2 linked regions of the Rattus norvegicus genome follow. The protein of the gene in region 1 binds, or shares a complex with, the protein of each later gene. Links are inferred from orthologs where the notes say so. Each region holds a gene or a part of one and is shown on either strand. Other genes may lie near its edges.

Evidence for each region.
Region 2: the proteins of Eef1g (region 1) and Eef1b2 are in contact, whole or in part, in a crystal structure (PDB 5DQS), measured with the Homo sapiens proteins. The link is inferred for Rattus norvegicus from reciprocal best matches to the Homo sapiens genes EEF1G and EEF1B2. Residues at the interface, in NP_001395.1 of Homo sapiens: Leu146, Lys147, Thr148, Arg149, Thr150, Phe151, Glu155, Arg156, Pro185, Asn186, Arg189, Leu192, Thr193, Asn196, Gln197, Pro198; in NP_001032752.1 of Homo sapiens: Ala20, Asp21, Lys22, Ser23, Tyr24, Tyr28, Val29, Cys50, His51, Arg54, Asn57, His58, Ser61, Tyr62, Glu65.

The regions. Positions count from the first base shown.
Region 1 is NC_086019.1:215,291,864-215,306,892, forward strand, and holds the end of Eef1g (elongation factor 1-gamma), read left to right. Parts: coding exon 1-4; intron 5-141; coding exon 142-284; intron 285-623; coding exon 624-767; intron 768-3,083; coding exon 3,084-3,213; intron 3,214-3,489; coding exon 3,490-3,694; intron 3,695-7,688; coding exon 7,689-7,861; intron 7,862-7,954; coding exon 7,955-8,079; intron 8,080-8,319; coding exon 8,320-8,478; 3' UTR 8,479-8,558; downstream 8,559-15,029. UniProt on the Homo sapiens protein: Probably plays a role in anchoring the complex to other cellular components.
Region 2 is NC_086027.1:72,068,372-72,084,054, forward strand, and holds Eef1b2 (elongation factor 1-beta), read left to right. Parts: upstream 1-5,719; 5' UTR 5,720-5,794; coding exon 5,795-5,874; intron 5,875-6,323; coding exon 6,324-6,446; intron 6,447-6,955; coding exon 6,956-7,082; intron 7,083-7,213; exon of another isoform or gene 7,214-7,291; intron 7,292-7,368; coding exon 7,369-7,435; intron 7,436-7,552; exon of another isoform or gene 7,553-7,684; intron 7,685-7,798; coding exon 7,799-7,924; intron 7,925-8,021; coding exon 8,022-8,176; 3' UTR 8,177-8,220; downstream 8,221-15,683. Other genes in the region: Ndufs1 (NADH-ubiquinone oxidoreductase 75 kDa subunit, mitochondrial precursor), read right to left, coding at 552-612; Cmklr2 (chemerin-like receptor 2), read right to left, coding at 11,077-12,138. UniProt on the Homo sapiens protein: Catalytic subunit of the guanine nucleotide exchange factor (GEF) (eEF1B subcomplex) of the eukaryotic elongation factor 1 complex (eEF1).

The sequences.
Region 1 (15,029 bases):
TACGGTAATTTGAGGGGATACAGGAGTGAGAGGGTCTGGGGGTAAGGCTGCAGAAGTGGTTGCAGTGGACAAGATGGATTCAGAGATTGCACTGGTTTTGACGTGATCTCAAGTTCTAAGCTACATGTTCTCCCTTTGCAGTAAGCAATGAGGAGCTACGGGGAAGTACACCAGAGGCAGCAGCGCAAGTGGTGCAGTGGGTGAGCTTTGCTGACAGTGACATCGTCCCTCCAGCCAGCACCTGGGTGTTCCCCACCTTAGGCATTATGCACCACAACAAGCAGGTACGCTTCAGAACTTGGGGAGAGAAGCTGGGGCAGAGTTGGGGTCAGAGACTACGTATTGGGGCTGGGAAGTAGAAGAAGGAAAAGACACCAGGAGTTGTGTGGGCAGTGCAAAGACTGAAGTGGTTACCATCAGTATGGTGGAAATAAAGTCATACTGACCATGAAGAAACTTAGCACGAGATTCATTTCTGATAGATTTCAACTGACCCCAGAGTCTAATGATAACAGGGTGGGGGTTGAGTCAGTGCTGATGAAATGGCTTCTTTAGTTCTGTTGGTAGGTGGATATGAGGAAAGGGACTTGCTGTCCACTAAGTTTGAGTATTCAAAACAACAGGCCACTGAAAATGCCAAAGAGGAGGTGAAGCGAATCTTGGGGCTGCTGGACACTCATCTGAAGACACGGACTTTTCTGGTTGGTGAGAGAGTAACACTGGCTGACATCACGGTTGTCTGTACCCTATTGTGGCTCTATAAACAGGTAAGGTTTGTGTCCCATTTGACAGGGGTAGACCTGTACTGGGGTACCCGGTTCCACTTAGGACAGACCAGTTAATGGCTGTAGGAATCCCAGCATTGAGAACTGTGACTGTTTTCATCTTTTTTTTTTTTTTTTTCTTTTGGTTCTTTTTTTCGGAGCTGGGGACCGAACCCAGGGTATTTTCATCTTATTGAAGATGGGTGAAAGGCTGGATGTGGTGGCTTATATTTGTCATCCCAGCACTTGAGATGCTGAGACAGGAGGACTGCTCTGGTATAACTGTAGGCTGTGTAGTGATATCAGAAATAAAAAGCAAGATGGAAGCTGGGAGAGGCAGGGACGGTGACTCAGCAGCCTTTGGAGGCAGACTCAGGTCTGTGTCCTGGCTTCACTGCAGATGCAGTGGGACAGGAATCCTCATAGCTCTGCTTATCTGTGACACATTCAAGGTGATATTCGGCTTAGACCTAGCTTTTCCAGCATTTTTGAGATTTCCGTTTATGTGCATTTGCATGTATGTGCACGCTGATCCCAAGGAGCTTGACTTGTGAGCTACTGTGGGGGCTGCGAATCAAACCAGGTAACCATCTCCAACTATCCCTTGCCCCTTAATTTTTAAATATTACAGATTTTCAGGCAGCAGCTCTGAACCCATTCTGGTTCAGAATTGTAGTCCAACGAGAACAAAAAAAGAGAGCTGTTGTTTACCAACCGTGTGCCTCCCAGGGTCGTTACAGTGCTTCATGTTCACACACAGCTAGTGGGTGCTCAGGGATGATGACCATTACTGCAGAGCTTGCAGTCCCTGACTGACTGGATCTGGGATCTGCCTCCATGGCAAGATTTACCCTCCTACCCTCTCCTGTTTTGGCAAAGTAAAAGATGACAGGGGCTGGAGGGATGACGAGTCAATAGTTAGAAATGCTTGCTGCTCTTCCAGAGGACTCTGGTGGATTCTCAGCACCCACATGATTCCTCACAACTCTAACTCCATTTCCAGAAGATCCGATGCCCTGTCCGGCTCTCATGAGCGCTAGGAATGCATGTGGTGCTTAGACAAACGCACAGGCAAGACACCTATATACATAAAAATTAAAAAATGAGATTTTTTTTTTAAAAGACGCTAGTGTGGGGCTGAAGCGATGGCTCAGCACTTTGAGTACTTGCTTTGGCAGAGTTCTGTGTTCATTTCCCAGTACACAAGTGGCAGCTCAGGGAGGAGCCAGTGTCTTGTGACTGCGCACAGACAACTTGAAAGGAAAGCACTAATAAACATACAGAGAGGATAGTAAGTTTTTCAGTGAAGGCTTGAAGGGCTGTTCTGTCTGTCTGCTGGGCACATGCTGTGTTGCTGAGCTACTCTATCTGGTCTTGGGTTTGCTTGTGTCATTAATGCTATGGTTGCAGTGTGGAATGAGAGTGGAGCCCAGTGATTTACCCAGCATGCTCTATGTTCCATTAGCATCACACATGAGGTGTCTTTTTTTTTTTTTTTTTTTTTGAGGGTTATTTAGCAAAGTGAGTGTAGTGGTCACCCCACTCGACCCCATTTGGGTGCTGGGTTGGAGCGCAGTGTCATGTGGATGCTGGGTCACATTTTCTACTACTGAGCTAGATTCCTAGCCTGGTGCTCCTACATGGGCTCTATTACAGCCTTTTCAACCTTTTTTGTTTGTTTGTTTTTTTATTTTTTGAGACAAGGTTTCTCTGTAGACCAGACCTTTTCAACTGTTGTTGAAATTTTTATTGGCATGAAATTTTAAAAATTAAGAGTAGATGAAAGAGCAAAATATTAAAGCATTAAGTAGCATAATGGTGCATGAAGGAGTGGGAACAGCCATCCTTTTAGACTGAGCTGTAAAGACAGTGGAGAAAGCTGCTGTAATCCCAGCACAGCAGGATGGAGACAAGGAAAACAAAAACAGGAGACTGGAGAGATGGCTCAACAGTTAGTGGTTGAGGGCACTGGGTTAAGGGCTCTGGCCACTCTTCAGAGGACCAGGGTCTAATTACCAGCACCCATATAATGGCTCACAGTCATCTGCAACTTCAGTTCCAAGGGATCCTAACACTGTCTTGTGGCCTCAGGGAACACTGCACATATGTTCTGTACACGTAAATGTAGGCAGAACACTCATACACATAAAAACGGTGCACTTTTTGGAAAGGAAGGAGTCCTCCAGGAGTGTACTCATTTAAGGTTCTGATGTCAGGGCCTGGAGAGGAAAGTGGACCTGAGGTAAGGGCCTTGTGCTCTGGTGTGACTCTGTTCGTGGCCTTTCCATTGTTGATTTTCTTTGTGTTCCGTCCTGGCAGGTCTTAGAGCCTTCTTTTCGCCAGGCCTTCCCCAATACCAACCGATGGTTCCTTACCTGCATTAACCAGCCCCAGTTCAGGGCCATCTTGGGGGAGGTGAAGCTGTGTGAAAAGATGGCTCAGTTTGATGGTAAGTCTGAAGACTGGGCATGGATAGGGTCAGGGTCCAGTTTGCTCCTGTCGACCGAATGATTTGTGTGGCCTTTGGCTTTTTTGTTCACCCACAGAACATAGTGTGTCGCACAGTAACTGACATTACATTAAGATGCAGTGCTGTGATGATGTGTGCTTTGCTCCTTGAGGGTGTTTGGTTGTCCGAGCCATCACTTTCCCTGCTTGCTGCCTGGTTTGCGGGGGCGGGGGAAAGAAAGAGGCTGCATATTTCCTTTCCTCCCTCCTTTACAAGCTAAGAAGTTCGCAGAGAGCCAGCCAAAAAAGGATACCCCGAGGAAAGAAAAGGGCTCACGAGAAGAGAAGCAGAAGCCCCAGACTGAGCGGAAAGAGGAAAAAAAGGCAGCTGCCCCAGCTCCTGAGGAAGAGATGGATGAGTGTGAGCAGGCATTGGCTGCTGAGCCCAAGGCCAAGGACCCTTTCGCTCACCTGCCCAAGAGGTAAACCTGTCGGAAGGTGTTCTCAACCTTTGTTCTCACACATGTCTAGGGCTGCAACTTCAGGCTGTTGAAATACTGATGGTGCAAGTGCAGTCCAGGTCTCATGCAGTCCAGGTCTGGTTCAGAGGCTGTGAGGTGGAGGATGACCTTGAGTTTCTGACTGGTTATCTTGCCTACCTAAAGGCATGTACCAATAGGGAAGTACTGCTTTGGTTTGTTTTGGTTTGTTTGTTTGTTTTCCAGACGGTTTTTCTGTGTATCCCTGGCTGTCCTGAAACTCACTCTGTAGACCAGGCTGGCCTAACTCTCAGATCCATCCCTGCCTCTTGTCCTGCATTAAAGGTGTGTGTCATCACTGCCTGGCTCCCCTTTGGTTTTTTTGTTTTCTTTCTTTTTTTTTTTTTTTTTAAGACAGGGTATCACTGTAACTGGTTGACCTGGAACTCTGCATAGACCAAGCTGGTCTCAGAGATCCCCTCCCTCTGCCCCTCAAATCTTGGAATGCACCCTGCTGGAAGTTCCTTTTATTTGTTTGTATGACTTTGTGCCCTGGGTGTATGTGTAGAGGCTAGAGGTCAACTGAGATGTCTTCCTATATGGCTTTCCCCTCTTTTATTTTTCCTTTGAAATCTCGTTGAATCTAGAGCGTGCTGTTTCTGCTGGGCTGGCTGCTAGCACCCAGGATCCACTTACGTCTAGCCCTCCGCTCTAGCTCTGGGGACTAACATGTTAGCCACTGTGTACAGCTTTTGTGTAAGCGCTGAGGAGCTGAATTCAGTTCCTCATGCTTGCATAGTAAGCACTTTACACACTGAACCATGTTTTCAGCTTCTTGGGATTTTTTTTTTCTAACAAGGCAAAAAAAAAATCTAGCGTATCTAATATATGCTGTTGTAATGGAGACACTTCTTATACACAGTAAGTTGGTTTATATTATGGACAGGAAATAAAGAGAAAACAAAATCTTTGAACATCTTTGCTCCTTCTTCTGCCTTTTCTCCTTACAAATATTTTATTTTTAAATTTATGTGTCAGTGTGTCTGTTCTTGCCAGCCATAGAGATACAGCATTCATGTGTATGGAAGTCAGGACAATTTGAATGAGGTCAGTTGTCTCATCATGGGGATCAAAGTCAGGTCATTAGGCATCTTGACCCACACTGAACCATCTTATGTACCTTTGATGGTGGTTTTTTTTTTTTTTTTTTTTTATTAACTTGAGTATTTCTTATATACATTTCGAGTGTTATTCCCTTTCCCGGTTTCCGGGCAAACATCCCCCTCCCCCCCATGGTGGTTTTTAATGTCTATTTTTTTTGTGTTACAATGATAGTGTTTTTTCCTTAGGACTTTTTGTTTGCTGTTGGTTGGTTTGTGGGAGTTGTTGTTTGTTTGTTTGTTTTTCTTTTTAAAGATTTATTTATTATATATAAATACACTGTAGCACTAGAAGAGGGCATCAGCTCTCATTACAGATGGTTGTGAGCCACCATGTGGTTGCTGAGAATTGAACTCGACCTCTGGAAGCGCAGCCAGGGCTCTTAACCTCTGAGCCATCTCTCTAGACCTGGGTTGTTTTGTGGACAGATTCTAATGTATCAAAGGTTGGTCTCAACTGTGTAGCTAAGAGTGACCTTAACTCCTGAGCTTCCTTGTCTCAGTCCCAGGTTCTAGATTTCTGACATGAGCTGCCACAATTCCCTTCCCTTATGATAGCTGTGGCTGTCCTGAAATTCAGATTTGCCTGCTTCTGCCTTCTGAGTGCTGGGATTAAAGAACGTTTTATCAACATCCCTTAGGCTTTTTTTAATGTCAAAATTGAAACCAGCAATTTAACTGTGACTTGTTCAAGGTTTCATTCTGGTCGTGTTTATTGTTTTGTGGTTTTATAGCGTGTAGGGAGTTGCAGTTGGGGCTCACATATGCTTAGGGACATAGTCAAAGTGCTATACAATCTAGTTACACCAAAGTTCGAGCTCTTTGGGGCAAGATCTTGTTATAGTCCCTGTGCTGAGATACAGACCATACTTGATCTGCATTATTTGAGGAACTTGGAGTCTAAAGAAATTTCTAGGACTGGAGAGATGGCTCAGTGGTTAAGAGCACCGACTGCTCTTCTAGAGGTCCTGAGTTCAAATCCCAGCCACCACATGGTGGCTCACAACCATCTGTAATGAGATCTGATGCCCTCTTCTGGTGTGTCTGAAGACAGTTACAGTGTACTTATATTTAGTAAGTAAATAAATTTTTTTTTTTTAAGTTTCTAGTCATACATTTTGGCTGGAAGGAGGATGATTTGAGGCTTTCTGGCTCCTCAGATGACTTTCCTCCTGGACATTTGGAGACCAATTCGGGACCTGTGGTTAAAGGGCAGACTTCTGACTTTGCTATGAAGTAATAATCTTGGACAAGTTTTGCCATCTAACCTCAGCTGTGAAATGAGAGAAAGATAGCAATATAACTCAGGAGTTGTGAGAATGGGGTTAAACAACAGGATCCTTAAACTATAGCTTTTGAGTCAGGGTCTTTTCTAAACCAGCTGGCCTTGGCGCTTGGCATGTGTCTGAGGATGGTGACCTTGGACTCTGATCCTCTGTTTCTTCCCTCCCAGGCACTGAGTATGGCACACGCGTCACCTGCACTTGTAAGAATCTAACTGACTTTGTTTAGCAGTCGTGGTAGGTCGCAGCACAATCTTGCAGTATAGACTACTTAGCTGTGAAAGTTTCTTTTCACATAGCATCCCAGGCAGTTTTTGAGCCTATGATCCTTGTTACTCAGTTTCTCATGCTAGGATTATGCTCTACTTACCTAGTAAGAATTATTCCTAGTGTGTTGTAGTATTAAGTTGTTACACACAAAACTTAGTGACTCAAGGCTGCATCTATGGAAACACAAAGGAAAGGACATGAGAGAGTAGTTATCCCACTTACTGAGATCATAGGTTTTCTTCAGTCAGTGACCTTTTTTTAAGTTTCTATAGATTTATTTTTATGTGTATGAGTGTTTTGTCTGCATGTTTGTATATGCACCAAGTGTGTGCATGCCTAATGCCCAAGGAGGTCAGGAGAGGGTAGAGGAGGTCAGTAGAGGATAGAGGGTAACATCCTCTGGAACTGGAGCTAAAGATGCTTGAGAACCAATTTATAATTGGAGAGAAGAAAAAAGTAGGACCGGAGCCATGGGGACAGAATTCCTCCTGTGCCGGTTAGCTTTCTTGGCAGCTGACCTTGAATATCAGGTTATTTTGAAGATAACCTGGACCTAAGAGCTTTTCAGTATGCAAACTTGTTAATGGACAAAGAGGAACTAGAGGACTTAGGTGTAAAGATTTGAGGTGTCTATCTTCTGCTTGCATTCTGGTTCCAGCCTATGGAAGGCCTGTGTGGTGGGTTTCAGACTTTGAGCATTGACTTGTGTCTCCTGGTGAAAGTCCTGGAGAGGCTAGAGAGAGAAAAACAGACTGCTTTGCTCTGAGCCACCACCTGGGGGCAGCAGCCAGCTGTCCTTACTGGGTTCATGGCATGCTTGAGTCTTGGTTTTCACAGGGTCTATAACAAGATCTTGTCTCAAAAAGCTAGGACTGGTGGTGTAACTAGAATGTCACACACTTTGTCTAAGCATGTGTGAACCTCCAAGTTTAATACCCAGTGCTCTAAAAAAATGTATAAAACCACAAAACAATAAACCTTGAACAAATCATAGTTAGAATGCTGGTTTCAGTTTTACAACATTAAAAGGCTTTGGCTCACCAGATGCTCTGGGTCAGTCTATGCATGTCAAGACATGTAGACAGAAATGTCTTAGCTCTTCATATCACGCCACCTGTAGCCCCCCATTCTCTTCACTCATGCTGTTATAAGTGTCAGTCACTGCATTGCATTACAGGGACCACTTCCTTCATACCAGGAACTAAGTGAACACCACCCGCCTAGAACTGCTTTGCAGTCTCAGTAGGACTTCTTATGGACTCCTGTGTTTCCTCTTTTCTTTAGTACCTTTGTGTTGGATGAGTTTAAGCGAAAGTACTCCAATGAGGACACCCTCTCTGTGGCGCTGCCATATTTTTGGGAGCATTTTGATAAGGATGGCTGGTCCCTGTGGTATGCTGAGTACCGCTTCCCTGAAGAGCTCACCCAGACCTTCATGAGCTGTAACCTCATCACTGGTGAGAAGAGGAGGGGTGGATCTAGGAGGAAGAAGATCAAGGTGGTGGTGACATGATTCCAGAGACTAGACAAGTCTCCCCTTTCCCCTCCAGGGATGTTTCAGCGATTGGACAAACTGAGAAAGAATGCCTTTGCTAGTGTTATCCTGTTTGGAACCAACAACAGCAGCTCCATTTCTGGGGTTTGGGTCTTCCGAGGCCAAGATCTTGCCTTTCCGGTAAGGATGGTGCTGGGGGAGTGGGCTATAACATGGGAAACTAGGAGTCTTGAGCTGTGGCCAGTGAGTATGAAGGAAGAATTCTGGGTGTGAACATAGGAAGTATGCTCACATCAGTGCGAATCCTGGCATCTGCCATCATGTCTGAGCTAGAATTTGGAGAGAGATGGTGTCTCAGTGTCCAGTGTCTAACCACATGCTTCTGTGCTGTTTTGTTATTGGTTTTTTTTAAACCTTCAGCTGAGTCCAGATTGGCAGGTGGACTATGAGTCATATACATGGCGGAAACTGGATCCTGGTAGCGAGGAGACCCAGACCCTCGTTCGAGAGTACTTTTCCTGGGAGGGGGCCTTCCAGCACGTTGGCAAAGCCGTCAATCAAGGCAAGATCTTCAAGTGAACATGTCTTGCCAGTCACCTAGCTGCCTGCACCTATCCTTCAAGGGAGATGGGGGTCATTAAAGGAAACTGAACATTGAACTTTTTCCTGTCCTGCCTCCTTTGTGACTGATGGCTTCCTCAAAGTTTTTGCCTATGCCTGAGACATCACTGTGGCCGGGCAGAAGTTTTCAGAAGAGCAGAAGTAGAGGCCTGGCCTTAGTTTTGTCTTTATTGCCCTGCTTCCTACAATGATGCTGTTCTAGCTGGGGAAGATGAGAAACACAGGGTGGTGGCATGGGCACAGTTGACCAATTCTCAGAAGCTGTGTTTCACACTAACCATTGAAGAAAGTGTCTGCTGACCACGCTGAGCTGAGGGGAGCTCACGGATGCAGAGGCATTTCTATCACAGCTGCTGCTCTGTGTGGGTTGGGTTTCTGCTGTAACCCAATATGTAGTCCTCATGCTGGAGAACCTTGTGTAAATGGTGCTGTATTGTCATAGGGCCTACATCTGTCCAGTGCAGTTAAGTTCTCTACAGAATATGGTTAGATAGATAGGGAAGTCTCATTTCCTCATAGAAGCCTTGTAGGGTAGGTAGGTGAGTAGCTGGATGTCACTGTCCAGCTTAAATGCTGCAAACATTCTAGAAGACCAGCCACTTGGGGCAGGCGCTGGCTTGTTAGTCCTTGGCTGGCTGTGGATCACTCCAGTCATTTCCTTTGTCGGTGTGCACGTACTGCATGATTGTCCAGGTACCCTGGAGGCCAGGGGAGGGCATTGGAGCCCCTGGAGCTGGAGTTACAGGGAGTTGTGAGCTGCCCAGTATAGGTGCTAGGAACCAAACTCAGGTCATCTGGAAGAGCAAGTGCTGTTAACTGCTGAGCCATCTTGTAGCCTTTAGAGTTCGTTTCTGAAACATTTCTTATTGTGTAGTCCAGGCGGGCTACAGGTTTAAGACTCTGCTTCAGCCTCTCCCAAGTGTTAGTATTATAGGTTTGGGTGCTTGGTATCCATGCTTTCTAACAGGGAAGCTTGGGGACAGTTCACAGTAGCTCTAGGTAAACACATCTGAGGTGGAATCTGGCTGCTGAATCCAGGAGGTGTGGCCTGAAGCCTGGAATACCAAGTTGTGATTATTTCCTAATACAACCTTTCAACAATTTTGGTTTTTGTTTTTGTTTTTTTGCTCCATACAGGCTCTTTCTAGGCCAGGCCAGGCTAACAGTGACCCTTCCTTCTTCAGCTTTCCAAGTACTGGAGTTAGAAGAATGCGCCTCCATATCTAGGTGTTCCCAAGTTTTAACAGCTCACATTAGAGATTAGATCCTAGGCTGGGTAGACCCGCAGTTGGTAGAGTGCTTGCCTGGTATTCATGCTGCCCTGTGGTCATTCCCCTATACTTACTACATAAATCAGTTGTGGCCTGATGGCAGACCAGGGCCAAGGCTAGATTGCCTCAGATTTAAACCATCTTCAGTATTACCAGAACCATCAGTGCTACACAGTAAAACTCCCGTCTCTAAAAACGTTTAGGTTTGGTGCCACCCACCCTTTAAGAAGTAGAGGCCAGCCTGGGCTACTTGAGAACAAAAAGCAAACGAGTTAGAAACTAGTATTTGCAGAAAGTTGACCTCCATCTGGTACAGGATTTTGTGTTTGTTTTCTTACCCATCCCTTAGTCCAGGCCTAGGAGAAGGGTCTTGGGAGGAAGAAGAATGACCTTACTAAGGGATAAGACTACTGCGAAGCTGGAACCTGGAACCTGCTGTTGGTGTTTGTTTGTTTGTTTGTTTGTTTGTTTGTTTTTTAAGAGTGGATGGGTTAGTGGGAGTGGGAGTTGTAGTTTAGAATCCAAATAGCAAAGGTGGGTTGATCCTTACTCCTGTGCAGTTTGGCCTCAGGCATTCTCAGTACTAGATGCTGGTGTTGGGTGTTGCTGGGGCCTCACTGAACCTGTCAGACTCCTAAATTCTGTTTCTTACCCCCCCCCCTACTTTTCTTGTACAATCTCCACTACTTTTTGGTGTCCTTTTCATTTTTCCAATAACAGGATTGTAAAAAGACCATCTTGTGTGCTGCATAAAGGGTAGGTAGGCAGGCCCGGAGGCCTGACTGTTAAAGGATAGTTCTTCAGGGTGGACCAGTGTTTGGGCAGCAGTCTGCCAAGCAGCCTACATAATCTGGCCTGGAGGTGGGCAGAGACCCTCACCTCAGCTCCCTTTCCTCTCTGAGCCTGCAGGCAGGGTGACTCATCTGTACATCCTGCTTCAGGCTTCTGACCCTGGCGGCTTGCTTTGCTGCAGGGTGAAGGGTGGCCAGTGCACACGGGTTGTAGATCTGAGAAGAGCTTATGGAAGGAAGGCTTTGGGATTGGGCCCCTAGGAAAGAGTTAACAGGAGTTTCTAAGGGGTGGGGGCTGGGGTGGGGGTGGCCTTGTGCAGAAAGGGGAAGCACATCTGGGGTTAGTTTGGTTCCACCCTGCCCTGGGGAGGTCTGAGTCACCACACTGCCAGCCTGGCCTTCCCCCATCTCAGTTTGGACTGGAGGCATCTTGTCAGAGCCTAGTCCTTTCTACCATCAGCCACAGATACAAGCATGAGCCTGTTACTGCTCTGGTGCCAGGGAGCTTCTCTGCTCCCAACCACTGTCGAGAGTTGGCAGCACTGCCCACAACAGGCGGCAAAAGTTAGGGGTCAGGGGAGAGGAGATTGGGAATGGATCAGGCTGAGGTCTTTGGAAGCTAGTGGAAGGAGGCCATTGTATCCACTTAACGCAGAATCTCAGAGCTCAGGAAACTAGAGCGGGGTCGGGGCCTAGAGTTGCAGTTGCCTGAGTCTAGAGTGTGAATGGGAATGCAGAGCCTTGGTTTAGCTTGCAGATAAGCCAGTGGACACTAGTCAGAAGCAGCTCTTAGTTAGCTTTGTTGGCAACTCTGCATAAAACGCTTGTTAAAAAGTAAAGATTCTTTAAAATTCTGTGAAGATAGACCTAGATTATCTTTTTTTTTCTTCCATTCATGTCCTACTTTGAATTAGATCGGGACAGCTGCTGTTCTCCCTGGGTTGGAGTCAACCCACCAGCTGCCTACATGCCCTAAATGTGCCACTTCCCCCTTTGAAAGATGCAAGTGTGTGTGTTGAAGAGTGTCTTGAGGGCCCCACCCTGAAATGAATAGTTTCTGTGACAGCTAGCACTCCTTAGAACATCCCTCCATATATATCAGATGGCTTGTGTCGGGAGGCCGTAGCCTGCCCAGGCTCTCAAAGTGGGAGGTCAAAGGTATAATATTCCAGTTTGTTCTGATCCTCTGTGTGGATGAATGTAGTTAAGGGTACCCACTCTACTCCCTTCCCCTAATGCTGTGCCACTGAAATATTGATGCCCCTGAAAGAGAAGCTACCACCTGCTCCTGTCTGTGTGCACTAAATCAGGCTGGCATGGATCCCAGAGTAGGCTGTCTCTTAACTCTAGTGGAGTTCTGGGATGTCCTGTGCTCAAGTGCCTAGGGCTTGGGGTAGAGATCCTTCTCCAGGGGACATCTGCAGAGCATCACTAGTCACTTTAATCACAAGAGGAAATATACCTAGGGTACCTAAGTAGTGGTTAATCTTGGATATCCATTCTTTGGAGCCTATCGGTAATTGTGTTTTTTTGGGGGGGGGGGAGGGGGTTTGAGGGTTTTTGAACACGTGATAGAGCAGAGAGTGACCTTGTACTTCTATTCTCTTTCACCTTAGTGTTAGGATTACAGGCGTGTGATCCTGAACCTGGCTTCTATGAAGCTGGAGATTGAACCCAGGGCTTCGTTTGTGCTAAGAAAGCACTCTACCAGCTAAGCTACTTCCCCATCCCTGATACTGCACAGACCAGGAGCTGAGGTGGTTAGGCTATTGGACTATTTTCTGATGGGATCTTCCATGGAATGTGCCTCTATTTCCAGCTGTCCCATCCCCTTGCAGCAGCAGCAGCAGCAGCAGCAGCAGCAGCAGCAGCAGCAGCAGCAGCAGCAGCAGCAGCAGCAGCAGCAGCAGCAGCAGCAGCAGCAGCAGCAGCAGCAGCAGCTGTCATGTGAAGGCCTCTTGCTGGCTCAGCCCTTTTGCAATTAGCTGGCTGGTTCTGCCAGCATTGGGGGTGGACAGTGAGGATGGGCAGAGCTAGTGGCAGTTGGGAGCATGGCAGGCAGGGCATGAGGGAACTGGCGGAGGCTAAGGAAGACTGGGTTTGAGGGCTAAGGAAAGGGGTTGCCTAGGTTAAATGGGAGGAGTAGAAAGCAGCTGAACAGGAAGTGGGAGCTGAGGTGGGACTGACAACTTTGTAGATGTAAGGGAGAGTGAGTGTTTGTTGTAGCCGTAGCCGGACCCTAGCCAGTCATCAGGGAGAACCTCATTTCCCCTGACTCAAACTGCAGAGCCATAATGCACTTTGCAGCCAGTCCTTCACCATGTGTGACTTGACTCATACGTTCTGAGGGCGTTGGCTTCCTTAAGGGGGGCAATGCCTCTGCCTGGCCCTGCCCCACCCATCCCCATTCATTTCTACTGTTAGGACAGGTAGTGAACACACGCCTTTTATCCTACTCTCTTCAAATAGTAAGTATCCATTTCTTTGACTCAGTCTTACAGAATGTACCTCACTTGTGCTGTCAGTAAGACCATCTCCAGTCATTCTTTATCTCACATGTCAATGAACTGGAGCCCAGAGAGGGGAAATGACTTATCCCACGTACTTCTTGTGGCCACATACTGAGTCACCTTTGCTCTTAACTAGGAGAACGCTCCCCTCAGAAGATGGTGGTAATTACAGTGGATACAGAACGCAACTTTTGTAGGCCAGGGAGTAGGTAGCTTCCAAAGGTTCTAGCAGCCCAGAGCTGCTAAGAACTTAGCCCAGTGCTAAGAAGCCTAGAAGTGAAGCAAGTCCCAGGGCAGGGTCAGCTACAGCAATCTAAGTCCTGGGGCGGGCAGAGGGCATAGGGTGTAGCAGAGGCAAGACTGTGAGTGACAGGAACCTCAACTATGTGGTGACTCAGGCTCTGGGCAGTCTAGGCCCTGCCTTCTCAGCCTGATCTTAAACTGAGCTTGGGGAAGTGTGAACAGAAGAGGGAGGGAAACCCAGGCTGGCATTCCTTTCCCCCAGGAAGGCACAGGAAGTTAGAAAGCGGATTCCAAGACTGGTGTTCCCCAATGTCTCTGCCCCTCCCTGTCCCTTTGGAGAGGGAAAACAGGCTGGGCTAATTCTACTTACTCTAGCTCCCTCTCTTTGCTCCTATTTAGAACACTGCTTGCCCAGTCTGAGTGCCTGCCTTCTTTCTTATCCCCCCTTCTCTCTCTTAAGCAATCAGGCTTTTTTTTCTCTCCCTGATCTCTAATGGCACCACCATGCATGGAGTCTCTCCACTGCTGGTGTAGGTACCCATCCTTCCCTCTACTTAGTTATTTTCCTTTCTCTGAATAACCTAAGACTTCTGTCCCTCAAGACACCATCATCATTCTTGTTCCCTAACCAGTTTTAACTTGAACTCCAGCTGGTCCTAAAGGTTTCATTAGGGCCCGGTGCCCTGGAGGATTTCCCTGTATTGGTCTGAGCAATTCGGGAAGTCCTTATTTGAATCTGAGTTACAGGCTGAGATTTGTATTGAGTTGGGGAAAAGTAATCTTGTTTTTGGTTTTGTATTTTGCTTAAGAGGGAAGAGTTCAGAGTTTGAGCATTGCTTAGGAAATGTTTGGATTCCAGAACTAACCAATTGGCTGGGAAAGACAATAGATTAGCAAGAGCTAAGAGTGAATGGAGAAGCTCCTGCTTAACAGGGTCCCCTAGTCCTGGGTGGGGCTTGGCGGGTGGAGGTGGGCACTGGGAGAACCCTGTGGTACTTAGAAGGGTTGCCAGTCATTTTTCTGTGTATAAGGGTGCCACCCAAAAGGACTTTCAATGGGGGGAGGAGTATGTTTCTAAACTGTGAACAGCAAGCTTTGACTTCCTTTCTAGGATCGCACTTAAAAAGCTCTTGGTTTTTTTTCTTTAATGTACTGGTTTCAGAAAAAGGGACTGTGGCAAGAAGGGAGGGGAAGGGGAATCCCCTGGCAGAGGGCCCATCCACAGAGCTCCCCTTTGTGGTTACTATGGAAACTGGCATAATAGGAACAAAACATAGTCATGTTGCTTGGCAACCCAGGAGCCTAAGGTTCATCACACACATACTCATGACTCCTTCATTTCAGGGAACCCCCCGAGGCTAGGAGCGTCATTCCTGGAAGCTGGGTTATCCCAGTGACAGTCCTAGAGCTCTTGTAGATTTCTCTGTGAATTTGGAGGACTGAGGTGTGGGGCACCTCTGAAGGGTGACACAGTGCCACCTGTACAGCTGACCTGAACCCAGGCCAGTGTTGACAGGAGTCTGAAACCTTGAAGAAAGCAGGTTTTCTTTGCAATGTTAGGGCAAAGGAGATTCTTCTCAAGTGTGTGTGTGTGTGTGTACACTTGTGTGCATGTGTGCAGGAAAGACAGGCTTGCTCCTGCGTCTGGTGTTGGGTGTGGGATAGCAGAAATAGACAGTTTTCCATTTTCTGAA
Region 2 (15,683 bases), on another chromosome or scaffold:
TGAATTCAAAGAGCTTAATGAATTAGCTAAATATAAAAAATTATCATTTTTTACTAGTCTTCTCTTTCCAGATGCAAATTTTGTTTTTCATTTTTGTTTGTTTCTTCCAGTCAGGGTTTCTCTCTGTAGCCCTGGCTGTCCTGGAAAGACCCAGCCAGACCAGGCTGGCCTTGAACTCAGAAACCCACCTGTCTCTGCATTCTGAGTGCTGGGATTAAAGGCTTGGCTAAGACACAAACTTTTCAAGCACTAAATAAGCATAAAAGCTTTTTTAACTCAACTCTATCAAACACATGGTTGTTAGGTTTGGTTTTTGCATTTATAAAGATAATCAAAAATACTCATGGGACTCGAGAGATGGCTCAGCAGTTAAGAGCACTGACTGCTCTTCCAGAGGTCCTGGGTTCAACTCCCAACAACCACGTGGTGGATTACAATCTGTAATGGAATCTGATGCCCTCTTCTGGTGTGTCTGAAGACAGCTACAGTATACTTTAATATACATAAATAAATCTCTAAAAAAATTTCATGAATATACAACAAAAACTTACCATATCCTTTAGGAGACTTAGAAAGGCCTATCAAGGCCCTTTTTACAGGTATCCTTAACATGATGGCTAAAAGCAATAAAACAAAGATTAATTTTGTAGAAGAAAAAGACCCACCTACTTATAAAATTCCTGGTACTATTTTATGGTTTCACATACATTATTCTAGGAGAATATTCGGATTCAATGTTTTCCCTCAAGTTGTACATATAATATGCAGTCCCAGAAACACTAGCAATACAGTATCAATATCAGACAACTGAGAAGTAGTTAGCAGATAGCAGACTTTGGGTCCTTGCATAGATAGGTAAGGTACAGCTGAGCTACATCTCCAGCACTAAACTTGGGCTCTGTAATACAAAGTAAAGGGCGGTTTTGATATAATCAGAACAAAGTGGTAAGAGCTTGGAATACAGCTCAGTTGGTATAAGAGTGTTTGCCTAGCACTGAGGAAGTTCTAGGTTCTAATATCAGAACAGCATAATCCAGATTATATGTGTGCAATCGCTGAATTTGGGAGGTTGAGGCAGAATCAGAAGTATAAGGACATCTTCTGCTACAGCAAGTTTGAAGTCAGGCAGAGATACAAGAAAAAGAATTAAGAATAAAGTAAAATAAGTTGCAAGAATAACTCTTTGTCATTAACAGCTATCTAAAATACATAAAATACCTTTCTGCCTTCATCTCCCACCAGTACGTTGGGGATTTTGTTTTGTTGAGACAGATCTCATTATTAATCTGCTTCTGCTTCCTGGGTGCTACCACGACTAGGTCCAGTATGCACTCTCTCATGATATATATCATGATATATATTTTATATATGACCCTAAGATATTCCGAGGTAGCTCAGAAGTCAAAAGCCTTTGATGCATCTTTGTTCTCTCACAGTTCTACAATCTGCTTGTGTTATGCTTTTATCTTAAACGCACTATGAACTCTTGGCATTTTCCTCCTTTCAGTACCAATTCCCAAAAGCTAATAAAAATAGGTTTTAAAACAATGCTTCTACATTGCTTTGGGTGTTTTAGAGGCCTAATCTCAGTTACTTGGGACACTAAAGCAGCAGGATCCCATGTTCCCAGACTGCCTAGACCTTGAGTGAGTTCAATACTAACCTGGATAATCTAGTGAGACCCTGACTCAAAAATAAAAAGGTTAACTGGAGAGGCTCAGCAGTTTAAGAGCACATGTTGCTCTTGCAGAAAACCTGGTTTCTGCTCCCAGGGCCCAAACAAAGGCTCACAACCATCCACAATTGTTACTGATGTCCTCTGCAAGTGCCAACACACACAGAGCACACACATACAAGCAGGCAAAGCACTCATATACGAAAAGAGAATAAGCTGGGCATGGTGGTGCACACCTTTAATCACAGTGCCTGGGATGCAGAGGGTGGCGGAGCTCTGAGTTCAAGGCCAGCCTGGTCTACAGAGTGAGTTCTAGCAGCCAGGGCTACAAAAACCCTGTCTCCAAAAGTAAAGAGAGAGGGGGGGGGGAGAGTATGTGTGTGTGCGAGAGAGAGAGAGAGAGAGAGAGAGAGAGAGAGAGAGAGAGAGAGAAGAGAGGGAGAGAGAGGGAGAGAGAGGGAGAGAGAGAGAATAAATTATTTTAAAGTTTTTTTTTAAATCGAAAGTAAAGTGAAGGATGGAAATGTGGCTCAGTGGTACCAAGTGTGAGACAGCTCTAGGTTCAATAACCAAGACTAAAAAATAATTTAAATGAAAGGCCAGAGAGATAACTCAGAGGTTAGCATTGTCATCCATCACTGAAGGAAGTGAGGGCTAGAAGGAAGCAGTTTCTTAATTGAGGTTCCCTCCTCTCAGATGATGTTAGCTTGTGTCAAATAGACATAAAACTATGCAGCACAGTCTCTAAAATCCTTTTCTACAAATTTCTGGGATTACAGATATGTTGTTTTTCTGTTTGTTTTTACCTTTTAAAGATAGTAAAAAAAAAAAGTGATGAGTATATCAACATTAAAAAAACAGTAAAAATGTTTCTCAACAGCAGTAGCAGTACTAATAGAAAATAGTTCAAAAAACAGATTTTTTTCCTTTTTAATAATTAAAAAAAGTGTTTGTTATGTGTTTTGTCTGCATGTATGTCTATTCACCTCAAGGAGGCCAGGAGAGGTTATCAGATCCCTTGGAATTGGAGATACAGACAGCTGCTGAGCTGCCCTGTAATTTTAGGGAATCAGATCTAAAAGAACAGTCTTAACCACCCAGTCATCTTTCCAGTCCCAAAGGTATAGCCTAGGCAGGTCTTGAATTCATGATCCTCCTGTCTATACTTCTTGAACATACGCTGGCATGTGCTACTACAACTGGCTTTTAGCTGTGTAGAGACCAGGCTGGCCTGAAACACACAGAGATTCACCTACAGGCCTCTGCCTCTTAAGTGCTGAAATTAAAAGCATGTACTACCACTTCAGATAAAACAGAATCCTAAACATTAAAGTCTGTAGTTATTATAGATGATATATAATTAAATATTTCATTAGCTTATAATTTAATTTATTTAATTAATTCTTTAAAAATGGAAATCTACAGTTTACAAACTGAATTTGCAGATACCGAGTCTGTTATCTACTAGGTATTGGTTCTTTACCTATAGAGCAAATCTACACTGTTTCTTAGGGTATTATTACTAGGTCAATAATAAAAACAAAGAAAAAAATTGCAGTAAAAACAGCAAGGCAATCAGTAATGGCTATTAACAATCAGTTGTACAGCGATCTTTGTTTGTGGCCCTTTTTCTTATTAAAAACACACCATGTATATATTTTATTATTCTACTTACTAGAGTTGGACAGAGCAGGTAGCTTTAATGCAGGACCACTTCCTTTAGGCTGCACTGGACTATATCCGTAGTACAAACAACAAACAAACCCACAGTACTAAACTGAAGGTGAATCATCAATATTGTTAGCTACTGGACTGTAAGTTCCTTGACAAAAAATTTGGCTATTTCTCTTTTCTGAAGACTAGCAAGTCCCCAAGTAGTTTTGCCACCAAATTCCAGAATGAGCAGTTATCTATCTCTGTTTTAAATGGTACTGATGAGGCTACGCACAGCAGTCTATGCCTGTGGTTGCAGCACTGGGGAGCCTAAAGCATGAGAATCAGGAGTCTGAGGCCAGTCTGAGCTATATACATGGGACCTCATCCCACAAAAACAGCCTGCACTGCATAAAGAGTCTGAGGATAACCTGGCTTATGCACTGTACAGGTTGTTTTGCTGTGGTTTTTTTACTTTGGTGGGTTTTGTTTTTTTTTTTTTTTAGATATATCTCATGTACCTCAGACTGGCCTCAAACTTGCTATGAAGTCAAGGATCAACTTGGACTCCTAAACTTCAGGCTTCCACTTCCCAAGCAAGGGGCAGAATTAGCAACATGTACCACCATGTTCAGCTTCGTATATGTTTTATTGTTGTTGTTGACATTCATTTACTTACTGGATGAAGGTTACCATATACACACAAGGGGGTGGGGCAGGCGCATGAGGAAGTCAAAGGCAACTTTTGAAAGTCAGTTCTCTCTTTCCATCAATGTGGGTCCTGGAGACCTAACTCATGGATGCCAGGCTTAGCAAGCATCGTTACCAACTAAGCTATCTCACCAGCATGCATTTCAGAATATGCATTTCAGACATGGTATCTATCAAATAGGAACAGTAGAGTCCTTACCTAAGCATGCACAAACTCCTCCATTCAATCCTGTCCCAGCCTCCCCCGTCTAGGATTACAGATAAGCACCACCACACCCTGGCATATCTCTACTATCTTGGCTGTAACTAATAAAAATAAAGGGCGTTGATGTTCTGGCTTAGAATAATAGATTCAAAGATGCAAAACTCAGTGGGGGCTGGGGAGGAGATTCCCAGAAATTTTTGTTTCATCTTAAGACATGAATCTTGAGAACACTGCAGCTTCCTGATTTGCAGTGGGACTCAGAGCTAACTTTTTAAGATTCACTTTTAATTTATGTGTGCATGTGCTTGTCTCTGTGTGGTTATGTGCATTTATAAGTGCCGGTGCTCACAGTCCAAAAGAGTGGCAAATTCCCTGTAACAAGGCAGTTGTCCCCCTTCTGACGGAGACAGTGGGAACCGAACTCGGATCTACTCTACAAGGCACTCTTAACCACTTGGCTATCTCTCCAACTCCGACTGAGCTTTTAGTTTTTGTCATTCTCCCCGTCAGTGGAATGAATAAAATACTACCCAACATCATCAATGAACTGGACAAAATAAACAGTAGTGTGGGCAGTTTCAAGATAGCAACTAAAGAGACGCCTAATGTTTAAGTCTTTCCTGACACTGGGAAATGACCCGGTCTCCTCCAGACAGGGCCATCTCCTGTCTTCCCCTGCAGAGAGAAAGTAGCTAGCAAGCCGGAACTCCCAAAGGTTTCCTGATCATCTTGCTTATGCTCCATCAGACCAGAAACTATGGCTAGTAACCTTCACCTGCCGGTTCTCCGGGGTTCTGGAGGTGGCGGGGCAGGAGGTGGTGCCCAGTCAAGGACAAGAGGAGAATGACTTGTTTGACCTAAAGAACACAGTCCTGCTAAGAAAGAAAACACCACTCGAAGCACTTCAACTTTCTCTCTTAAACGCGTCCTCACCTTTCCTCTAGAGCTCACCAAGTTGTCCCGCTGATTTGTCCGGATCCCCCTGACCCCTCAAAACCCAGCCGCTAAGTCAATATGGCGGCCACGGCTAACTCCGTCAGCCTGACCTGGCGGACGGAAAGCCAGGAGGGACAACAAAGCCAGATTCGACAATCTCCCCTCTTTGGACCTGTTCGGCAATTTCCGTCAGCACGAGAGGGAGCCGGGAGAAAGCGGAGAAGACAACTTGGACCTGCAGTTCCGCCGGAAGTAGCCGAGGCCTTGAGGCCGAATGCTTTCGTTCAACTCCGGCTCCTCAAGGGGCGTTTCCTTTAGTTTTAGAATCCTTGGAGGTAGGCGTTTTAAAATGCATCTTTTATTAATTTCCTTCCAAACACAAGGAAAAGCCCGCGGACGACCTGTGGGTCGTCTAATTCACAAGACGCAGTTTTACGTGAAGGAACGAGACTAGTAACGTACTTTGACCTTTAACCTCTAGCCGGTGCAGTGGAGGGAAACGCCTCCGTCTCTATATAAGGACTTTTCCGGCCGGTCCCGGCCCTTTTTCTCCCTCAGCGCTGGCCGCGGGCTTCTAGCGCTCTTTTCCTCCGCTCCCGGTTACAGTCGACGCCATGGGTTTCGGAGACCTGAAAACCCCCGCCGGCCTCCAGGTGCTCAACGATTACCTGGCGGACAAGAGCTACATTGAGGGGTGAGCCGGGAGCCCCGGGGGCCACGTGGCGCGGGCTCGGCGGGAGGGAAGCGGGTCGCCGGAAACTAGGGGAAGCCGAGTTAGGTCTCCCGAGTCTCGGATGCCACTGGAGCAGGACCTCCCTGGAGGGGCTGCCAGCGCAATAATTGAAATAATGCTTGCTCTCCGTGTAACTACGTTCAGCCGGTTCTTCCGCGTCCTCTGACTAGTTAATTTAAACCTGTGGCAAGCCCGAGGTAGCCTTTGAGTTCTCCCAAGTGGTAGAGAATTCTTGGCTTGTACAGATTGAAACATATTTTGTGCACTTCCGATTAGAAGCAATTTAGGTTAGCCCTGTAATAGTTCCCACTAGTAGTTAGTTTGGCGGGTATGGGCTGTGTCATTTACCAGTTAGGTGTTTGTGTCTTTTCTTTTAAAGGTGCGTGTACTTGTTTTTGTGTTACCTGCAGGTACGTGCCATCACAAGCCGATGTGGCAGTATTTGAAGCAATCTCTGGTCCACCACCCGCTGACCTGTGTCATGCTCTGCGTTGGTATAATCATATCAAATCTTACGAAAAAGAAAAGGCCAGGTAAAAGTATCATTGTGCTACCTGGATTTTCGCATGGCAAAGTAGGACCGGGGTTAAAGTTGCTTTAGCATTGTTGACCTAGTGTAAACCAAATTTCTTTGTGACCTTAAATTAAGGCCAACAGACTGAAGTTCTCCATTTTCTCACAGAACAGGTAGAACATGGACAGCTGCAGTTTACAATTTTCCCACACCTCATTAATGTGTTTTGACCTGGGGGAGGGGCACCACTGGGTTGTGAGGGTAGCTGATTTAATTCCTGGCCATTCTTCTAAAACTAAAGAATGGAAGTGGGGATATATAATGAATCTCATTCAGATGTTCATTTTGGAAGAGTAAACCATTGAGTACTGAATACTATGTCTCCTTTAAAGTCAGGTCATTTACCTGGGGTTGTGCTAAGGTTAAGTAACCAGAAGAGATTGTGAGTTACTGGAAAGGAAGATTGTGTGTTTTGCCCAGAAAGAGCTTTGACACCAACCTAATGTTGTAGAATGCTTGTTTTTCAAGCTTGCCGGGAGTGAAGAAATCTTTGGGCAAGTATGGCCCTGTCAGTGTGGCAGATACCACAGGAAGTGGAGCAGCAGATGCTAAAGACGATGATGACATTGATCTCTTCGGATCTGATGATGAGGAGGTATGCCTTTCTCTTTATACAAGTATATTGATAAGGCAGACAGTCTTTACAGCATGACTAACTGGTGCTGTAGCCACTGCCCGGACATGGATCCTGCCTTGGCTTTATTGTCTGCCTTTAAAAATTTATCACTGGGTACATGATGAATAAAATCGAATCACCATCTTTCGGCTGAGCTCCTGATGGATTTGCTTTTTTCTGATGTCCAGTCATTTTTGTGATGACCTTGTCACTACATTTAAGCAGAAGATAACCAACTTTGTGAAATGTTTTTTTCTCTGTACAGGAAAGTGAAGACGCAAAGAGGCTACGAGAAGAACGCCTTGCTCAGTATGAGTCAAAGAAAGCTAAAAGTGGGTAACTTACGGTTTATCTTCATTGTTAGTAATGTGAATGCCTTTGTCTAGTGCTTGGCCTTAAAGTGGGTTTTCCCCCAGTTAAATTGAATGGGTCAATATTTTATTTACATCTTCCACAGCTACTGGTCTGCAGCTGTCTTTATGGTAGCAGTTGTAGCATTCCTCTGTGGGAAAGAAACTGTTACACAATTTAATGCCTCTTTCTTAGCCACATAGAAAGAGGAATATGCGTGACAGACACAAGGCGAGTTGTGTACGTTTTTGGCAAGAAGGTGGCCTGTTTCAAAACAAACAGATTTGACTTAATGGTGAAAATGTTGAGTATTTAGGTGTCGTTCATTTTTTCACCTTTTTTAGAGCCTGCAGTTGTTGCGAAGTCTTCCATCTTGTTAGATGTGAAGCCTTGGGACGATGAGACAGACATGACGAAACTTGAGGAGTGTGTCCGAAGCATTCAAGCGGACGGCTTGGTGTGGGGCTCCTGTAAGTGATGCTTGTGTTTGGGGGTTGGAATTTGGGCATCTTCAGTTTTCCTATCACAAAGAGTTTCCTAACTTTTTTACCCCTTGATCTTTTTTAGCTAAATTGGTTCCAGTGGGATACGGAATTAAAAAGCTTCAAATACAGTGTGTAGTTGAAGATGATAAGGTTGGAACAGATATGCTGGAAGAGCAGATTACTGCTTTTGAGGACTATGTACAGTCCATGGATGTGGCTGCTTTTAACAAAATCTAAATCATCCTTAAGTCTGTGCACTTAAATAAAAGCTTGAAAGATAACCCTTGACTCTTCATTTGCTGTGAGAAATGATATACTTTGTTTTGAAGAAAAGGTGAAGTGGTGGGGACTTGGGCTAGAAAGAGAAATTTTGCTCAGCATTTCAAACCACTTGGGCCATGGTTATCCAGACCAACATGAAGTTGCCTTTTAGCCAACACTATCGTGTCATAGATATAACTAAAAAGAAGATAAAAAATGTGTTATTAAAAATTTAGCGGGGTTGGGGATTTAGCTCAGTGGTAGCTCAGTGGGCCTTAGCAAGCTCAAGGCCCTGGGTTCGGTCCTTAGCTCCGGGGGAAAAAAAATTAGCAATTAATTGTCACCCGATGTGTTCAATACCTTTTTGAAAAGCAGAATGAATCTTGGGCCACTAAGCTGACTCCGAGGGTGCTTACCATTTGGTTCAATCCCTAAAGATAGCGTTATGTCCTGAGAGGAACATTGTATAGGTTTATAAGGTGGTCAAGTGTGGAGGTCTTTCCATTGAATCTGGAAATCTGAACCTAGAGCTGCAGGAAAGTGCTGGGATAAGCAGTGTGCTAAAAGCTACTTGTTGGAAACATTTGTGGGAGATCATACTGCTCAAGAAGTACAGCATGGGGGGCTGGAGAGATGGCTCAGCGGTTATGAGCACTGACTGCTCTTCCAGAGGTCCTGAGTTCAAACCCCAGCAACCACATGGTGGCTCACAACCATCTGTAATGGGAGCCGATGCCCTCTTCTGACAGGCAGGTGTAGATAGACCACTCATATACATACATAAAACATCTTTAAAAAAAAAGTACATCACAGCATTTCAGCTTTGTGTTAAAAATTTGGTACATACAGTAACTAAATGTATTTACCATAATTTTTAAAGTTTGGGGTTTGTGTTCTGTGAGCCAGGTGGTGGTAGTGCACATTTTTAAACACAACACTCAGGAGGAAGAAAAATGCAGACTCGTGGGTTCAAGGCCAACCTGAGTTATAAAGTCCATGAGAGTTGTGTATACAAAGAAACATTGTCTTAAAAACAAAGTTTTCTGTATTTTATAGATAGGACTCTAGAAGAATAATTCAGTTACTTCAGTCAGACAGTACTCTTGCTCTCAGTCTGGTTTTATGTTGACTACCTTCAGTGAGGGAAGCTTCACGTTCATACATAGATTCAATAAAACATGTACTAAGGAGAATATACTTCAACAGACCCGTCCTAAAGTAGTAGAAATTTTTTCCAGGTTAGAATCATGAGGGCCAGCAGAGGGCAGTATTGTCAAAAGCCTGAAAGCAGAGAAAGGGTTAGAGCAGAACTGTTAGAGCCTGCTGCAGAGCATGTCAGAAGCATGAGAGCAGGCTGGGGGCCGTAGCAGAACCAAGAGAGCTGGCTGGGGCCCTGTCAGAGTCACGAGAGCCGGCAGAGGGCACCACTTGGTATTCTAGGGCTTCTGGAGAACAGACAAAGGTACATTTTATTCATCTTATTCTCGTGTCTCTGTAAACAAAAGAACAAGATAGAATTGTGCTGTCAGTGCATGCTCTCTGAAGAGCATCTATACCATCTGGAAACATGTTTATAGTAATCTACACACTTGTACTTAGCTAGAATTTTCCATAATCATGATGTTCTGGAGGACTAAGAATGAACACAAAATTGTAGACATATTTCATAAAGGGGCAAAGAGTCTGTCCCCTTCCTTTCGTTCTGAGCCAGCCTAGTCTTGCTTTGGCCAATTTGATATGGTGGAAACAATGCTGTGTGTATGACATTCATAACTTGTAAGAGGACTGTGGATGTGGCTCAATAGCAGAGCACTTGCGGCTTGCAGCTGGAAGTCTGGTGACCCCCGGAGAGGTCATGGGGCAATTACAAGAGGAAGGACAAGATCTACTGATTAACTAGCCCAAGTATTCCAAGATAAGGCCATTAGCATTATTACCTACCTGAAGCTCCAAGCATAAGAAGCAGGGTCAAATCACCCTGTCTTGTTTATATTCCAGAAACTCAGAATTGAGCTATACTAACAATAAATTGTTGTTTTAAGCAACTTACTAAATAAACAGTTAACAGGAATGGAAGTTTTAAATCCATAGCCAACTAATACTTTATAGTTTATGGAAGCTTGAGTCCAGCCTAGCCTACATAGTGAGACCTTACCCCAAACAAAAGGGTTGGCTTTTTTTTTGTTTGTTTGTTTGGTTTTTTTGTTTTTTTGTTTTTGACTGAAAAGGTGATGATGAGGGAGCTGGGGAGCTGGCTCACCTTAGCCAGAGTGCATTCAAGGACAACCTGAGTTCAACTCCTGGAACACACATTAGAGAAAGCACTGGCAATCTCGTTGAGGTGTAGCTAGGCAGATCTCTGGCACTTGCTGGCTAGCTATTTTAGCCTGGTTGGTGAGCTCTAGACAACTGAAAAACCCTGTCTCAAAAAAAAAGAGAGTGTCTCCATGAGAAAAATGATTTAGTTACAGTTTACATACATGTACATCTATAAATACATTAACATACACACAAAATGACTCAAAAGCAAACCAGAAAAAAAGTCAGCCTGATAGTTTTTCAACAGAGATGATTAATATGATGTGGTATACACTATAAAAATTATTTAATCTGATACATATATTGCGTACATTAATAGACGAAGGCTAAAAGAGTGGGGGAAACTTTTAGGGTGTCAGTATCAGAATTGCCACCAGAGGGCAGGCAGAAAGATACATGATTTAAATTGCAAGGAAGAGATCCTGCCTTTTATACCCACGCAAAAACGTAACCGAACAAAAATACAATCATTTTAGATCGGAACAAATCCTAATCTGAAAGGATTGGTTATGAGGCTCCCACAGAAACTTTGCACTGGTTTTCTGGGCACAAAATACTCATTGGGCAGTTTCTAGGAGAGACAGGCTCTTGGTTTCAGCACTCCTGAGTTGTTCACTCACTGTACCAGAGCAACTGGCCTCCCACAGTGACCGCTTTAGTACCTCGGCAACAGAGGCCCTGAATCGAGCTTGAAACTTCTTGCTTATTAGAACGTAAAGGATGGGGTTCAAGCAGCTGTTGAGGAAGGCCAAGCCAGTAGAGAGAGGGATTCCGCCCTGCAGCACGTTCTGGAAAGAGCTGTTGTGATGAATGCTGAGTTCCCAAATGCTGAACAGGTGAAAAGGAGTCCAGCAAACCATGAAGGCGATGACCACAGACAGGATCATCCAGAGATGCTTACTGGATATCAGAATGTTTTGCTTCTTCGTCTTGAAGATGAGGCACAGGTAGCAGGAGCTCATTGTCAGCAAAGGCAAGAGGTAGCCAAAAAGGAACTTCACCCAGGTCAGAACGTGGTGTCTCATCAGGGTGAGCTCATACTCCTGGAAGTTGTTATAACAAATAATGCGGTTGTTGACCTCCACGGTGTCCCGGAAGTACAGGGTAGGACCTCCGAGCAGAGAAGCCAACAGCCAGACAAATAGAACAACAAGCAGTGAGTTCTTCAGGGTCCGGTGCGGATGAGACAAGCCAGGGTGGATCAAGTGAATGTAGCGGTCCAGGCTAATCACTGTCAAGAAGAATACACTGGAAAACATGTTCAGTTGGGCAATGAAGGAATTAAGCTTGCAGAGCCATCGGCCAAAGGGCCAGTGGAAACTCAGTGCCACATAGGAAATATACAGAGGCAGGAAGAGAACAAAGACGAAGTCTGCAATGGCCAGATTGAGAAACCAAAGAGTGGTGACCGTCTTCTTCCACTTGAATCCCATGAACCAAATGACGATGGCATTCCCTGGAATTCCCAGAACAAACGCAAGGGCATATAAGAGCAGGGAGATCCAGTGAACGATTCCCGGGTACACATTCTCCTCTGCGTCAGGTTCCTGGGAGTAATATTCTAAGGCATAGGAGTAGTTGTCCAGTTCTTCAAATAGCATTTCCCTTGAGACTTCCATGATGATCTTATAGGTGGAGAGTGAGGAAATCTGGAAAAATAATGTTTAAAGGAAAAAGAAAAGCTTAAGAATTAAGTTTGATGAATGCAAGACATAAATTGAAAAGTACAACATTTTATGACTAAGACATGGGTTCTTTTTGGAAGGGCTTGTGTTTATACTACAGATGTCTAAGTCCCAGGCTCACAGATTACACACACTGGCTCAAAGGTTTTGAGAGTTCATCTGTGATTCAGTAATTGTTACGTGGAAAATGATCTACTGTACAGGTCAAGTCCTCTGCCCTTAATACTTGTAGCCCATTATGGTGCATTGAAAGAATCTTGACACTCAGCAGGCATTTATTAGGCTCCTAGTATGCGTTAGTTTATATCAGATGCTAAGGGAAACAGATGGATACCTGCACAGTGGTGAGTTCCAGATCCGTAATCGTAGTCCTGACTTCTTAAGCTCTAGCTTGAGAAAAAATACATTCTGGATCCTTCCTTTTCCAAGATACCAGTAAGACTGAAGATTTTGACCAGAATGTATTTTAGGCCCAGGATATTTTTTTTTGTCATGTTAGGAATTAAATTAGGGGCCTTGAATAGGCCAAGCAGACACTCTAAGGGCTAAGAGCCCAACCCTAAGGATGATGGGATTGCAAATACAGCAATCAGAGTTCTATATCAATATAGCTAAATGGTTTTTCAGTTAGAAGATAGCTTTACTTTTGTTGTATTTTGACATTGAGTTTCTGGTGTTGCCTTTCTTCCTCTTCTTGGAATAGGCTATCACGCTGTAGGGCTCGTAGATGGCTTTGTATCCCACTGTACAGTCTAGATTGGCTTACGCCTCACAGCAATTCTCCTGCCTCAGTCTTCCAAATGGTCAGAGATGGGGATAAGCCATCACACCTAAATAAAAGATATCTTTTGGAGTAAATGTCAGCATAACCATATAATTTTCACATCAACTTCTTTCCTTTGAATTAACTTGAAATTTTTTTTTTGTAATTATGACGAAAAGTAGCTAGACAGTAGTAGCATACATCTCTAATCTCAGCACTCAGGAGGCAGAGGCAAGTGGATCTCTATGAGTTTAAGACCAACCTGGTTTACAGAGTCAGTTCCAGGACAGCCCAGACTACATAGAGAAACCCTGTCTTGAAAAAACACATGCACACTGAAGGACTCTAGTTTTTACTGAAACATAAGAGCTATTAGGAGGCTTGGCCTGGTAGGAAGTAGGTAGGTTATGAGGACCCTAAGGGCTTTCGCCAGCTTTACACCCACCACCTCAGGTCAAGATTAGGCCAAGTACCACCTTCCTGCCTCAGGTCAAGGCTATGCCAAGTTCCATTCTCCACCCAAAGTTCTCGGGAGGAGCAGGGACAGGACATTCTTGAAAATCCGCAGAATGTACTGACTGACAGTCACCTGACCCTCTTGTCCCAGATAGAGCTCGAAGGAATGTCATGTAAGTTTAAACTGAAACATTGCTGATGTAACCTGTACCTCAAAAAGTATAAAACCTGTTTGCTATAGCCATTCAGGGTTGCCTTCCAGTCACTCGCCATGAGGAGCTGATTGAAGGTCGACCCTGACACACTGGAAATTAAACCTCTTGCGTTTGCATCAAACCCCATTCTTGTGTCTCACTTGGAGGCTGGGAGGTTTCCCGGTAGTTAAGACTCACTTCGAGCCTTACAACACAACAAAAATTAATCAATTTTACATTGGATCAAATTTCCTGTGTTGAGTGTTCAATCTCAGGTTTTGTGGGGGTGTTTGTTTGTTTGTTTAATGTTTGGCTCTCTTAGGCTTGTTGTGAACTCACTATGTATGTAGCCCAGGCTGACCTCAAAAGCAGCAATCTTGTCTCAACCGCCTGAGTAGTGGGTTATAGGCATGCCCTGTCATGTCTGGTGTATGTGGGTCTGGGGACGGAACCTGGGACCTTGTGAATGTTTGGCCAGAGCCCTTTCTATCCTTTCTTCCTCTGCAGTCCTTTCCTCTCTTTTTCCTTTTCTTTCCTTCCTAAGCTGTGTGCATGTTTGCCAGGCTGCCTTCATCCTGGAGATCCTCCTTCCTCACACACACATCAGCAACCATTCTCCAGATCCAGTACTAAATGAGACGCACACCCCCTCCCCAAATGTTAGATTCTAGCAGAGATGTAGTTAAAAAAAATGAGCAGCTGTAAATTACATCTTATTAGTGTGTTGGTCTGCATGCCATGGCATACATATAGAGGTCACAGGACAAATTTCAGGAGGAACAGATCTTTCCTTGCACGATGTGGGTCCCAGGGATCAAATTCAGTTCACCAGGCTAAACATCGATCCCTTAACCTGCTGAGCCATCTCAATGAACCTTTTGAGGGTTGTTTTTGGTTTTGTTTTTTTAGTAAAACATAAAATAATAAGTTTTAAAAAATTATGTACTGTGTTAAATGACAGTAAAGAGATAGAAAATGAGAGGGTAGAGCAAAGGAAGGTGACTGGAGGTGACTGTAATTTTCTTTGTGATTGTTTGCTTTGGCTTTCGTTTATTTTGTTTTGTTTATTTTTCATTTCTTCAAGACAGGGTTTCTCTATTTAACAGCCCTGACTGTAACAGAACTCAATTTGTAGACCAGGGAAGCCCAGAACTCACAGAGATCCACCTGCCTCTGCCTCCCAAGAACTGGGATTAAAGGCATGCCTGGATTTCAGTAATTGAGACAGGAAGAAACTGTTGAAAAGTTCACTGGAGAAAGAAGCAGGAAGTCACTGGAGGAGTGACGACAGCAAACACAGACCTACTGCGTCCAGAAACAGTAAGATCCTCAAGCACAACAAGGAGTTGAAGATTGGCTAGCAAGATGGCTGTTGCTGGTTAATACACTTGCTGCCACACCTAAGGACCGAAAATTGAATCCCAGGACCCATGGTGGAAGGAAAGAATTGTCTTCCAAAACTTGTTCTTTTTTTTTTTTTTAAGATTTATTTCTTTATTATATATGAGTACATTGTCCTCAGACACACCAGAAAAGGGCATCAGATCTCATTACAGATGGTTGTGAGCCACCATGTGGTTGCTGGGATTTGAACTCAGGACCTCTGGAAGAGCAGTCAGTGCTCTTAACCACTGAGCCGTCTCTCCAGCCCCCCCAAAACTTGTTCTTAAATCTATAAGCGTTCCATGATGCATGATCTAATGTGGGTGGGTGGGTAGATAGATAATTACATAGATGTAATTCGAAAATTTTCAGACTATGATTTAAAAAGCTGGGCAATAGTAATAAAGGAAAGGGAGCTAGCAAGGTACATCAGTGGGAGGGTGAAGAGATGGCTCAGTGGTTAAGAGCACTCACTGGCTGTTCTAAAGGATCCCAATTGCATTCTAGTACCCACAGCATGGCTCACAACTTTGGGCAAGTCTAGCCTTGTGGTATCTGCTGCCCTCTTCTGGCCTCTGCTGGCATTGCACACATGTAGTGCTCAGATAAATACATGCAGGCAAAACAAAACACATAAAATATATATTTTAAAATTATTTTTAAAAAATAGTGGATCAGTAGGT